Linked DNA regions of Saccharomyces cerevisiae S288C. The protein of the gene in region 1 interacts with the protein of each later gene in a pairwise test. Each region holds a gene or a part of one and is shown in the gene's direction. Other genes may lie near its edges.

Region 1 (5,303 bases):
CTACGTAAAACCACTTATTGTGGATAATGAAGAAGTAAATAAAGCAAGTAACGGAAATTTAGTACAATCAGATCATCTAAAAGAATTTTCTTCGAATCTGGATGATGGGGATGATAAATTTTCCTTTAGTACATCGGCTAGTGGTAAATCCACCAAAAGCCTTCAGCAAGTTTCTAAAGACGAATCTAGTGGTTTTAAAGCTGCACATTTTGATTTTGCATATAAATCAAATGAGCACCTTGGGAGTGATGGAAGTATTGCAAGCGCCAGAAAGCCTCTGCGGATAACTAATGAGATTGATAGCGGTTCTTCCAACGAGGATGATGATGATGGTCTTCAGGAAAAAGGTTTTGTGGATAGTGAAAGTAAAGCATTTATAAATTACGCAAGTGATCAAGGCTCATCTATAAAAAATGACGTCTCAACACAAGAGCCTGAGTTACCAAGTCATCGTAGAATATTTAGGGTGGTTAATGAAGATCGCCCTAGTTTCTATTTAAATAGTGTAAACGATACGGGCAGTCTAACCGACAAGCATTCTTTTGACACTGCATCATCTGGTGAGTATGATGCCAAGTCAAACTTCTCTAGCCAGTCAGGACTTTCTATATCAAAAGGCTCTAAATCAACTGTTTTGGCTGCTCTTGACTCAAACGGAAACACAAAATCATCAAATAAAACATCCGAGTTAAACAGTTTAAACTCCATTTCAGAAAGTTTAGTGCCGGCTGCTCACTCGTTCAATGAACACACAGTTACTATCCCTGCAACGGTGGATTTACCAAATCCGGTACATGATGCCCCAAGCGAAAGATCTGTCAAATGTTCACCGTTAACATCTGTCGTATCGAACAAATCGGAAAAGTCCGTGCCTTTGGTTTCTAGTTACGTAGAAGAACTGCGACTAAAGTATTACAAGACTTCTAACTTTTTACAAGCGCCTCCTAACTTGCCGGTTGCTCTAAAACAAAAAAATAATTTGATTCAACCCAAGAATATTAAGGTCAAGTTGAGGACAAGTTCTAAGCAAATTGGTATCAAGCATGGTAAAGTTAAACAGAAATTACTGGCGTTGGAGACAAGAAATGAAGAATCAGATGGAACCGCTACAGGGCTGAAAAATAAAATCAATGTTGACCACACAAAGGAATTCCATAAATTGTTAGGGAAGGAAAATGAAACTGGCTCTATTTCAAAAAAAGAAGGCACTGACGCAGAACAAGCCGAAGACTACCTCAAGGACATACCCGGTGATGAAGCATATAACAGTGATGATATAATGGCGCCTTTACGAGAAAAAAGAGGGCAAAACGGTTCTGTTGATTCCGTGTCAAGATCTAACACGGTAGTCAGCTACTACACAAGGTCTCAGAACAGAATGAGAAGTGGAACACTGGATAATGATTACGTGAACAGACAAAAGCTTCCTACACATATCTCTCTTCAAGATTATCGTGATGCTAATGCTAGAAGTAATATATCGCGTCAGGACTCTGTCTCCACAACGAACTCTGATGTGGTAGACCTCAGCTATTCTCTGGGGCATGGCTTGCGTGTGGCAAACCCTGATTCAGACCCAGAATGATATCCTTCTCTGTAGTTTTGTAGATGTCATATATGTACGTTTATGGAACAGCATTTTAGAAAAGTATTACCCAGCTTATCACTTCGTTTTTTTTTTCTTTCCGTGTACTCGCTACACGTAGAAAGAAATCAGAAAACAACAGCTCGACAAGTGAAATTTGACGTTCATTAAGACTCAGTTAAGATTGCCTTGAGAATAAACAAAAGTAATCACAGTTAACTATTGAACAAGAGTGCACCTATGACTTCACTTTCTTCACAGCCAGCGTACACGTTGGTTTTCGATCCTTCTCCGAGTATGGAGACTTACTCGAGTACCGATTTTCAGAAAGCTCTTGAAAAGGGATCTGATGAACAAAAAATTGACACGATGAAATCAATTTTAGTTACAATGCTGGAAGGAAATCCAATGCCTGAATTGTTGATGCACATAATAAGATTTGTCATGCCTTCTAAAAATAAGGAATTAAAAAAGCTTTTGTACTTCTACTGGGAAATTGTTCCCAAACTAGCTGAAGATGGAAAATTGAGACATGAAATGATTCTTGTCTGTAATGCCATTCAACACGATTTGCAACATCCTAATGAATATATTAGAGGTAACACATTAAGGTTTTTAACGAAATTGAGAGAGGCCGAACTCTTAGAACAGATGGTTCCCTCTGTCTTAGCGTGCTTGGAATACCGTCATGCATATGTTCGTAAGTATGCAATCCTAGCAGTTTTCTCCATTTTCAAGGTCAGCGAACATTTACTTCCCGATGCTAAAGAAATCATCAATTCGTTCATAGTAGCTGAAACTGATCCAATATGTAAAAGAAATGCATTTATTGGGTTAGCTGAATTAGATCGTGAAAATGCCTTACACTATTTAGAGAACAATATTGCTGATATAGAAAACCTAGACCCTTTATTACAAGCTGTCTTTGTTCAATTTATCAGACAAGATGCAAACAGGACCCCTGCTTTGAAAGCCCAATATATCGAATTATTGATGGAACTGCTTTCGACCACGACTTCCGATGAAGTCATCTTCGAGACCGCATTAGCCCTAACTGTGTTGTCTGCCAATCCAAATGTCTTGGTTCCTGCGGTTAACAAATTGATTGACTTGGCCGTCAAGGTTTCTGATAATAACATTAAGTTAATTGTTCTAGACCGTATTCAAGACATCAATGCTAATAACGTAGGTGCTTTGGAAGAGTTAACCCTGGATATTTTGAGAGTCTTGAATGCAGAAGATTTAGACGTTCGTTCAAAGGCGCTTGATATTTCAATGGACTTGGCCACATCCAGAAATGCTGAAGATGTTGTTCAGCTTTTGAAGAAAGAGCTGCAAACAACCGTAAATAACCCAGATCAAGACAAGGCAATGCAGTACAGACAATTGTTAATAAAAACTATTCGTACCGTGGCTGTAAACTTTGTAGAAATGGCAGCAAGTGTTGTTTCGCTATTATTAGATTTCATCGGTGATTTAAACTCGGTTGCCGCCAGTGGTATCATTGCCTTTATCAAAGAAGTGATCGAAAAATACCCACAACTTAGAGCCAATATCCTTGAAAACATGGTTCAAACGCTAGACAAAGTGAGATCTGCTAAAGCTTACCGCGGTGCATTATGGATTATGGGTGAGTATGCTGAAGGAGAAAGTGAGATACAACATTGTTGGAAGCACATTCGTAACAGCGTAGGTGAAGTTCCTATCCTTCAATCAGAAATCAAAAAGTTAACACAAAACCAAGAACACACCGAAGAAAATGAGGTTGACGCTACCGCCAAGCCAACTGGTCCAGTTATTCTACCAGACGGTACGTATGCCACTGAAAGCGCTTTCGATGTGAAGACTTCTCAAAAGTCAGTTACCGATGAAGAACGTGATTCTAGACCTCCAATTCGCCGGTTTGTTTTAAGTGGTGATTTCTACACAGCTGCCATTCTGGCCAACACCATCATTAAACTTGTTTTAAAATTCGAAAACGTTTCCAAGAACAAAACTGTCATCAATGCTCTAAAGGCGGAAGCTTTACTAATTTTAGTTAGTATTGTAAGAGTGGGTCAAAGCTCTTTGGTGGAGAAAAAAATTGATGAAGATTCTTTAGAGAGAGTTATGACATCTATTTCTATTTTATTGGATGAAGTTAATCCTGAGGAAAAGAAGGAAGAAGTTAAACTTCTGGAGGTTGCATTCCTGGACACCACCAAATCCTCATTCAAGAGACAAATTGAAATTGCAAAGAAGAACAAGCATAAGAGAGCATTAAAAGACAGTTGCAAAAACATCGAACCAATTGATACGCCGATTTCTTTCAGGCAATTTGCTGGTGTGGATTCTACTAATGTGCAAAAAGATAGTATTGAAGAAGATTTACAACTGGCAATGAAAGGAGATGCAATCCACGCTACTAGCAGCTCTAGTATTTCGAAGCTGAAGAAGATAGTACCTTTATGTGGCTTTTCTGATCCAGTTTACGCCGAGGCTTGTATTACAAACAATCAATTTGACGTCGTATTAGATGTTCTTCTTGTTAATCAAACGAAAGAAACATTGAAAAACCTACATGTGCAATTTGCAACTCTTGGTGATTTGAAGATTATTGACACACCACAGAAGACCAACGTGATTCCTCATGGCTTCCACAAATTCACTGTTACTGTCAAAGTTTCCTCTGCTGACACAGGTGTCATTTTCGGTAATATTATTTATGATGGTGCGCATGGTGAAGATGCTCGTTATGTTATTTTAAACGACGTTCATGTTGACATTATGGATTATATCAAACCAGCCACTGCTGACGATGAACATTTCCGTACCATGTGGAATGCATTTGAGTGGGAGAACAAAATATCGGTCAAATCACAACTACCAACATTGCATGCTTATTTGAGAGAACTGGTCAAGGGAACTAATATGGGTATTCTAACACCATCAGAGTCGTTGGGAGAAGATGATTGTAGGTTCTTAAGTTGTAATCTGTATGCGAAGTCGTCCTTTGGTGAAGATGCCCTAGCCAACTTGTGTATCGAAAAGGATTCCAAAACCAATGATGTCATAGGTTATGTTCGTATCCGATCAAAGGGACAAGGTTTGGCTCTGTCCCTAGGTGACAGAGTGGCATTGATTGCTAAGAAGACCAATAAACTTGCTCTCACTCATGTTTGAACCACCCTGAGCTGATGCAATGTAAGTTATAATGTCAAAGGAGATAAGAATAAAACTTAAAAAATTCGAAAAGAAATAAAAAAATAAGGAAAATCTTTAAATAGATTTTAATTGCGTAGGAATCTTTGTTCTCATTTTTAAACAAGTATTCACTTTTATGTACATTTTCTTTCCTAAAAATCTTTATACAGAGTTGAGTTGTGAGTTGTGTAAGAGACGTCCAATTTTATAACAATTTGTAGACATCTCAGTGCCCCAAAGAGAACTATATGATTGAAAAATGGAGAGAGATAGTATCTTGTACAGTTTATATATTTACATGACGAATGGGAAATTATATATGCCCTTTGCCTTTCTGCCATAGAGCATGGCTAACTGGCCAGGACCATGAGATTGTATTCTTATTTCTCCTCTCCGAAAAATGGGAACTGGAACCCACTCAACAAAGTTCTCGCCTGGTAATCTAATTGAGCTGAGGTGTTTATATTTATGTGCATACCAAAAGTTTTAGGCCATGAGTCCTGGTTTGCATCGATTTCAGGGAAGAATTTGATAT
Region 2 (3,129 bases), on another chromosome or scaffold:
AATCCGGTGACAACCCACTAGATTTGTTAGATTCTCAAACACTAGCTCATATATCATCTACCAGACCAAAGAAATTCAATAAGAATCAAAATAGAGCAAGGTTTAATGATGATGCGTTTAACTTTGACTCAGAAGGAAAACTCGTTGTCAAGGGGCAACCTAAACCCTCTACTAATGTAGACGATCCATTGAGTGCTGTGACAAGCGGAATCAATGCGTATCTAGAGGCTGTGAAAAGTGGTCCTGTAAGAGGTCAAAGAAACAAGCTGAAATTCAGGAAAAATGGAAAGGACTCTGATGAATTTGGCGATGATGATGATGGTGAAAAGGATAGTAGGCTAATGAGAGGAAGAGTAAATCAAGGTAACAAGATTGGCAAACATAATAAGAAAGGTCCAAAGTTCAAATCTAGAAAAAAATTATAGAAGATTGAAACTGAGCAATATGGCTAATTACACACCTGGAGAAAAAATCAGATATGTATATATAAGAATATTATAATACTGTATATTAAAAATGATTAAAATAAAGAAAAAAATGAATCGGGCGTTTAATTGCTTATTATCTTGAAGAAGCGAAAGTACACTATATAGTAATAATGTGAGGTTAATTAAATATGGATGAGATAATGACGAAAGAAAATGCAGAAATGTCGTTTTAAAAGTAACCCCCATAATCTAGTGAGGTTCGACGTTGAAATGTGCTGTCCATATCTTCCTGCTCTGCCCATTTAGTATCAACATTTGAGTCGAATTGAAACATTGATATGTCACGGTCATCACCATGAGGAGACTCTGTTAAACTTTTATTGTTCTCTTTAAAACTTTCCTCATTGTTATTTTCTTGAGACTTTTGGTTAGGGCCTTCCACTTCGCCAAGTGATTCAAGCTCCTCATCCTCAAATGAAAGAGTTATATTTTCTAACCTATTTTCTTTTCTCATTATCGGCAGTTTGCTAGTTACAAATGGATTTTCTTGGATCTCTGTTAAGGCATCCTCATCTCTTGGGGTCATCGCCGAAGGCATCCTATCTTCGTTTGTTATGGTAGTGTGGTGATGGCGGCTTAGAATGGAAGATTTATAGCCTGCAATATGTGGTAAAGCCGGTACATTTTGAGATTCTTTTTTGGAAGCTCTTTCAATCATGTTTATACGTTGTCTAGCAATGACTAATTTGATCCAATCATCTAATCCATTATTATTTATTAGATCTTCTATCAACTCTGTTTTTCTATTCTTTGTTTCTAATTTCTGTTTCGCACCCTTGTTTTGCAGTAATTGATTGAGATAGTCAGGTATTGCTGACAAAGGATCAGATTCTTTTTCCTCACTTTGTAGTAATTCTACTGTGGGTAAGGCAGTTATTCGCGCGTCGGTCAATTGAGTACTATAAATACACCAGTCCTTGAACTTTTCCATTCCTCGTGAACTTGATAATTCGGAGTTTTCATCATAGACATCCAGAACGTTCGTAGGCTTAACAATACCTAGATTTTCCAGAGCCAGAGTTATATCTTGTAAAGCAATTGTATCGTCCTGATCACATCTTGCCTGAGCGATAGAACTGACCTCTGATGCTAACAAACTCAAGAATTTTGCATAGAGATCGGTCATGACATCCACCAGACTGGGCCTTGCCCTGTCAAATCCTTGTGCCTTCAATAATTGGAGAATAGATATGCGTAGTAGAGCAAAATAGAAGTCATTATTTGTAGTCATAGCAGAGGAACTCTATTGACCCAAAGATATCGCTGTTTTCCGCTAGTAGGTGATTTGGAATTGCTCAGGAAGCTACTTCAAGTGTTATATTAGCATACCTTCATCATGCAATATGAAATTACTGAAAAAAAAAACTAAAGCATCGCGAGCTTACCCGTTTCGCCACTTCTGTCAAGTGAAAAAACACGTTTGCATTGTTTAGGCTACAAGGTGTGGAATATCGAAGTTATTGCTAGACAGAAGTTCTTTAGGCATTTAGGTTTTGTTTGTGAGCTGGCTTGCTAATTTTGAGTACTGTGCATCATTGTTCCAGGATGTCTTCTTTATCGCTATATACTGTTCAGGCTGTTTTAATACTAGATCAGCAAGGAGAACGAATTTATGCAAAGTATTATCAACCTCCTCATAGATCTGATGAAGGACACCAATTGCTCTTCAATTCGGTGAAGAAGCAAAAAGAGTTTGAGAAACAACTATACCGTAAGACTCACAAGCAAGATTCGGAGATTTTAATCTTCGAGGATCATTTAGTCCTTTACAAAGAATACATTGATATCACGATATATTTAGTTGCTTCGCTGGAAGAGAATGAAATTGTTCTTCAGCAAGGATTTTCAGCAATCAGAGGAGCTTTGGATTTGATTTTGAACTCAGGAATGGACAAAAAAAACATCCAAGAAAACTATGATATGGTTTTATTAGCTATTGATGAAACCATTGATAATGGTGTTATCCTCGAAACTGACTCTAACACTATTGCATCCAGAGTTTCTAAACCACCTACGAACGAACCCCAAATGGCATTAGATTTGGATAAGGGTTTCTTAGGCGCGTGGGGTTTCGCAAAGAGCAAGTTTCAAGAAAGGTTACAGCAAGGCTTATGATCACAAGGCAAAGCGGATAGAAGAAAATTTTAGCTGGTCTTATATGGTATATATGCAGTGTCTTACTTTCTCCCTTCCATATATATGTATCTACTTATATATATAAGTATATGTTGCTCATTTAGAAATGATTGTCACCTCATGCTAATCATTTTATTCTTCTCGTTGGTCTGTGATGAAAAATAATGAAAAAATTATAATTGCTGTCTATTTTCTTTTCATCTCATATGATTTAGCGTTTTTTTTTGCCCTTCTTCGAAGAGTTACCACCGTTCTTGGTGGATTTCTGCCCAGCGATTGTTACTTTTAACTTGTCGACACAGAGCAGAAGAACCAAGTCCTGTTCCTTCAAGCCTTTAATCATTTCATGTTCTTGGGGCCAATCCATTTCGTTGTCAGTTGAAGAACCGTCTAGTGGTCTACTCTTGAAATAATGTAAAATTTCAGTTAAAGTCTTAGTTTTCTTCGCACTTCCCGGTTGTATTTTGACTTTGTATTTATATTTCAAAAGCGCAGGCCAGGGGGC
Region 3 (3,639 bases), on another chromosome or scaffold:
TGATTTTCGATCTGGCCGTGTCAACGTTAATAAAAAATAAGTCGAGGAAGAGAGTAGTTACATATGTAGTGGTGTTCGTTGGTGCAATATTTGTTGATATAACGATGAGACAGGTCACCAAAGAATTTCAAATATTTGAGGTTTATATCTTTTCTAATTTGGCGCCAAGTTATTATCCTGTGATACCCAGTAAGACAAAAAATGCCCCATAGCAGTCCTTATCTTAATACTGACCATTATGAAGGGGCTTACATTGTACAAACATATTTGTAATAGAATGTACCGGATATTTAAAATAACCCAAGCATCAATTGTGTAGTATTCTTAATTTTTTTTCTTGGTAAATTTTTGGGAGAACATTTTTTTGTGTCATCTTAGGGGAAATTATAAACCATTATACACTCCATACCATGCACTTACTTAAATTCTATGGACACATCCATCAATTAAAAGATAAAACTAATAAATAGAAGCATGTTATATATGAATATATATATTCTTTCTGTCATAATATAAAAGGGCGAGCATGTTATTCCCTAAACGTCTGATTGTGTGGGGTGTTCTATTGATTTTAAGTTTATCACAATTTGTCCTCTACCTGCCAGCCACAACATGTACGAACTCTAAGGGACTTAGGTTATGCGCTCCACAGTTTACTATAACTGTGATTGGAGGATCCAGTACTGCAAATGAGTTTATTGCAAGTGTAAGAGAATTTCTGCGATTGATTTCGTACCTGACAATTGACATGGGTTGGTCGAATGAATTCACTGATCCAAGTGTGTATGAGGATGAAAATTTGGTGGACACATTTCAGCCTGATAAGGTTTTTGAGCTCAATTATTTTGGATTTTGTAAACGGAGTAATAAAAGCAAAGTTTATTGTACCTCTAATGAGAATTATGGCATGGACGTACTTGAAGTACTTGTCAGAGACGTCGGGATTCAATTAGGTAACATTTCCACTACACGATCGAATGAAACCAAAAAATTCGGAGACTCTCTCGTATTGACCTACCGTTTGGCATTGACATCTATTCGTGATTTTTTGAAACACGACAAGCACACAGGAAATGCCCTATCAAAGGCTTTGATTGGCAGTCCTGATCCAAATGTAAAAGGCGTGTCACCAACAAAAAACTATCTGAAAGGCGTCAACCTGGCATTTATACTGATGATGTTCAACGGCATGGTTTTTTACTTTGCAGTGTTGGAAATAATAGTCGGATTCCTCAGTATCTGCGTAGTGTCAGCCTTTGGGGGAGCACTTAGTGTTGGGAAACGACACCGCTTATTTCCTATGCTTTTGAAGTCATCAAGTTCAATATTAGTTGTTATTGCTACATTGACAATATTATGTAACATCGTATATTTGATTGCACTGAAAACATTAGAACCTGAAGAGGTAACAGACGTAGGATCTGACAACGCTGCTGTACACACTACAGGCTGGGAACTGTTAAAAGTAAACGTGGGAAGTGGGTTCATTATGGGGCTCGCCAGGTATGCCATCCAGTGGGTCCTATTGGTACTCGCATTTCTTGCAGCAAATCATTACAAAGCTAAGCCCAAAAAGTCTGATAAGTATACAGAAGACACATCTAACTCCCCTTCTCCAGACTTGATGGAGAAGTAATTCACCACAGAACTTTTTTTTCAAATGACAGTAAATATGTAAACATATACACAGCCTTTCAGTATATTAAGTATTTTTGCATAACGTCCTTTTTTCCCGCTCGGTCAAGGCTTTGAAAAGATATTATCAATGTTCTATTCTTACTGAGAAAAGCGTTCCTCCAAAATGCTTTTGCTGTAACGTACAGGCAGAGACTTCAGGAGTATATAATGGCAGGATTGAAGACATTTGATGCGTTTCGTATGTTATATGGATTTTTCTGAAGTAGCCCGCTTCAGCATATTTTATTTTTGCTTTTGCTTTTTCACTAACAATGGAAATTTAACTTTACAGCAAAAACTGAAGAACAGTACAAGAAGAAATCCACCAAGGGTGGCTTAACATCTTTGTTGACATATCTGTTTCTGTTGTTTATAGCATGGACCGAGTTTGGTGAATACTTCGGTGGTTATATTGACCAGCAGTACGTAGTGGACAGTCAAGTTAGAGATACCGTTCAAATTAATATGGATATATACGTCAACACGAAATGTGATTGGTTGCAAATCAACGTCAGAGACCAAACAATGGATCGGAAACTTGTATTAGAGGAATTGCAATTGGAAGAGATGCCATTCTTTATTCCTTATGACACAAAAGTCAATGATATCAATGAAATTATTACGCCGGAATTGGATGAAATCTTAGGGGAAGCTATCCCAGCAGAATTTAGAGAAAAACTAGATACTAGGTCATTTTTTGATGAAAGTGATCCTAACAAGGCACATCTTCCGGAATTCAATGGGTGCCATGTATTTGGGTCCATTCCGGTAAATAGAGTTAGTGGCGAATTGCAGATTACAGCGAAGAGTTTAGGTTACGTGGCTTCACGCAAAGCACCACTGGAAGAATTAAAATTTAATCATGTTATTAATGAGTTCTCTTTTGGTGATTTCTATCCATATATTGATAACCCATTGGATAACACTGCACAGTTTAATCAGGATGAACCTTTAACTACTTACGTCTATTACACATCTGTTGTGCCCACTCTTTTCAAGAAATTGGGGGCAGAAGTGGATACTAATCAATATTCTGTTAACGATTACCGCTATTTGTACAAAGATGTCGCTGCTAAAGGTGATAAAATGCCGGGCATCTTCTTCAAATACAATTTCGAACCATTATCCATAGTAGTTTCTGATGTTCGTTTAAGCTTTATACAGTTTTTGGTCAGATTAGTGGCAATCTGCTCATTTTTGGTCTACTGTGCTTCGTGGATTTTCACACTACTGGATATGGCTCTTATCACCATCATGGGACCTAAGTGGTCCTTGCGTTATCAGCCAGATGATAAAACTAAGGGTATTTTAGATAGGTAGATATGTAAAAGAAAAGAGAATGCAGTATACCCAAGATAACGTTTCATTTTCATCTGTATAAATTTCATGACAATAGATTATAAGAAAAAGTGTGAGACTGAAGGCAGAGCGATCGCACTCAAGTTTCTGTGCCAGGCATACCTTCAAACAATCGTCCATAACAGCCTGAATATGCTTCTCTAAAATGTTCATAAGGGTCCTCAGGATAAAGTAATACTCCGCATATAAAACAGAACAGCGTCCCGCATACTTCGCATTTCATTTTATTGCAACCTTCACTTCTTTCTACAACTACCTTACACTTTGGACATCGCTGCAAATTCGAACCCTCTTTTTTAATCGCTAAATCTAACATTTTTTCAGCAAGGTAATCATTGACTTCAAGTTCTAATACTCTTCTCCCATATTTTGCCTCCAGTTTCCGCTTTCTCTCATATGAAGTAACGGTATCATCTAGATATTCCTCAATAATATCGGTCGATAACGAAACTTTCTTGCCACATTTATTGTTGTAACCATGCCAGGCATGCAAGCAGTCAAAGCAAAATACAAAATGACATTTTTGACACTGAATCATCGCATCATCGAGGTCTTCTTTTGTGCACCAACTATCACATCTTCGACAAGTCACACAAGCATACG

What was found.
Region 2: the proteins of SEC26 (region 1) and RET3 interact in binary tests that used the Saccharomyces cerevisiae proteins (3 or more experiments, as listed by UniProt).
Region 3: the proteins of SEC26 (region 1) and ERV41 interact in binary tests that used the Saccharomyces cerevisiae proteins (3 or more experiments, as listed by UniProt).

Annotation. Positions count from the first base shown.
Region 1 is NC_001136.10:937,339-942,641, reverse strand, and holds SEC26 (coatomer subunit beta), read left to right. Parts: upstream 1-1,825; coding exon 1,826-4,747; downstream 4,748-5,303. Other genes in the region: YDR239C (uncharacterized protein), read left to right, coding at 1-1,585; mitochondrial 54S ribosomal protein uL5m MRPL7, read right to left, coding at 5,149-5,303. UniProt on the Saccharomyces cerevisiae protein: The coatomer is a cytosolic protein complex that binds to dilysine motifs and reversibly associates with Golgi non-clathrin-coated vesicles, which further mediate biosynthetic protein transport from the ER, via the Golgi up to the trans Golgi network.
Region 2 is NC_001148.4:532,985-536,113, forward strand, and holds RET3 (coatomer subunit zeta), read left to right. Parts: upstream 1-2,033; coding exon 2,034-2,603; downstream 2,604-3,129. Other genes in the region: mRNA-binding protein RRP12, read left to right, coding at 1-425; TAF3 (Taf3p), read right to left, coding at 658-1,719; RQC2 (Rqc2p), read right to left, coding at 2,836-3,129. UniProt on the Saccharomyces cerevisiae protein: The coatomer is a cytosolic protein complex that binds to dilysine motifs and reversibly associates with Golgi non-clathrin-coated vesicles, which further mediate biosynthetic protein transport from the ER, via the Golgi up to the trans Golgi network.
Region 3 is NC_001145.3:138,421-142,059, reverse strand, and holds ERV41 (Erv41p), read left to right. Parts: upstream 1-1,845; coding exon 1,846-1,876; intron 1,877-1,969; coding exon 1,970-2,997; downstream 2,998-3,639. Other genes in the region: SMA2 (Sma2p), read left to right, coding at 527-1,636; ITT1 (RBR-type E3 ubiquitin transferase), read right to left, coding at 3,116-3,639. UniProt on the Saccharomyces cerevisiae protein: Constituent of COPII-coated endoplasmic reticulum-derived transport vesicles. Required for efficient transport of a subset of secretory proteins to the Golgi. The C-terminal Ile-Leu motif is required for exit from the endoplasmic reticulum.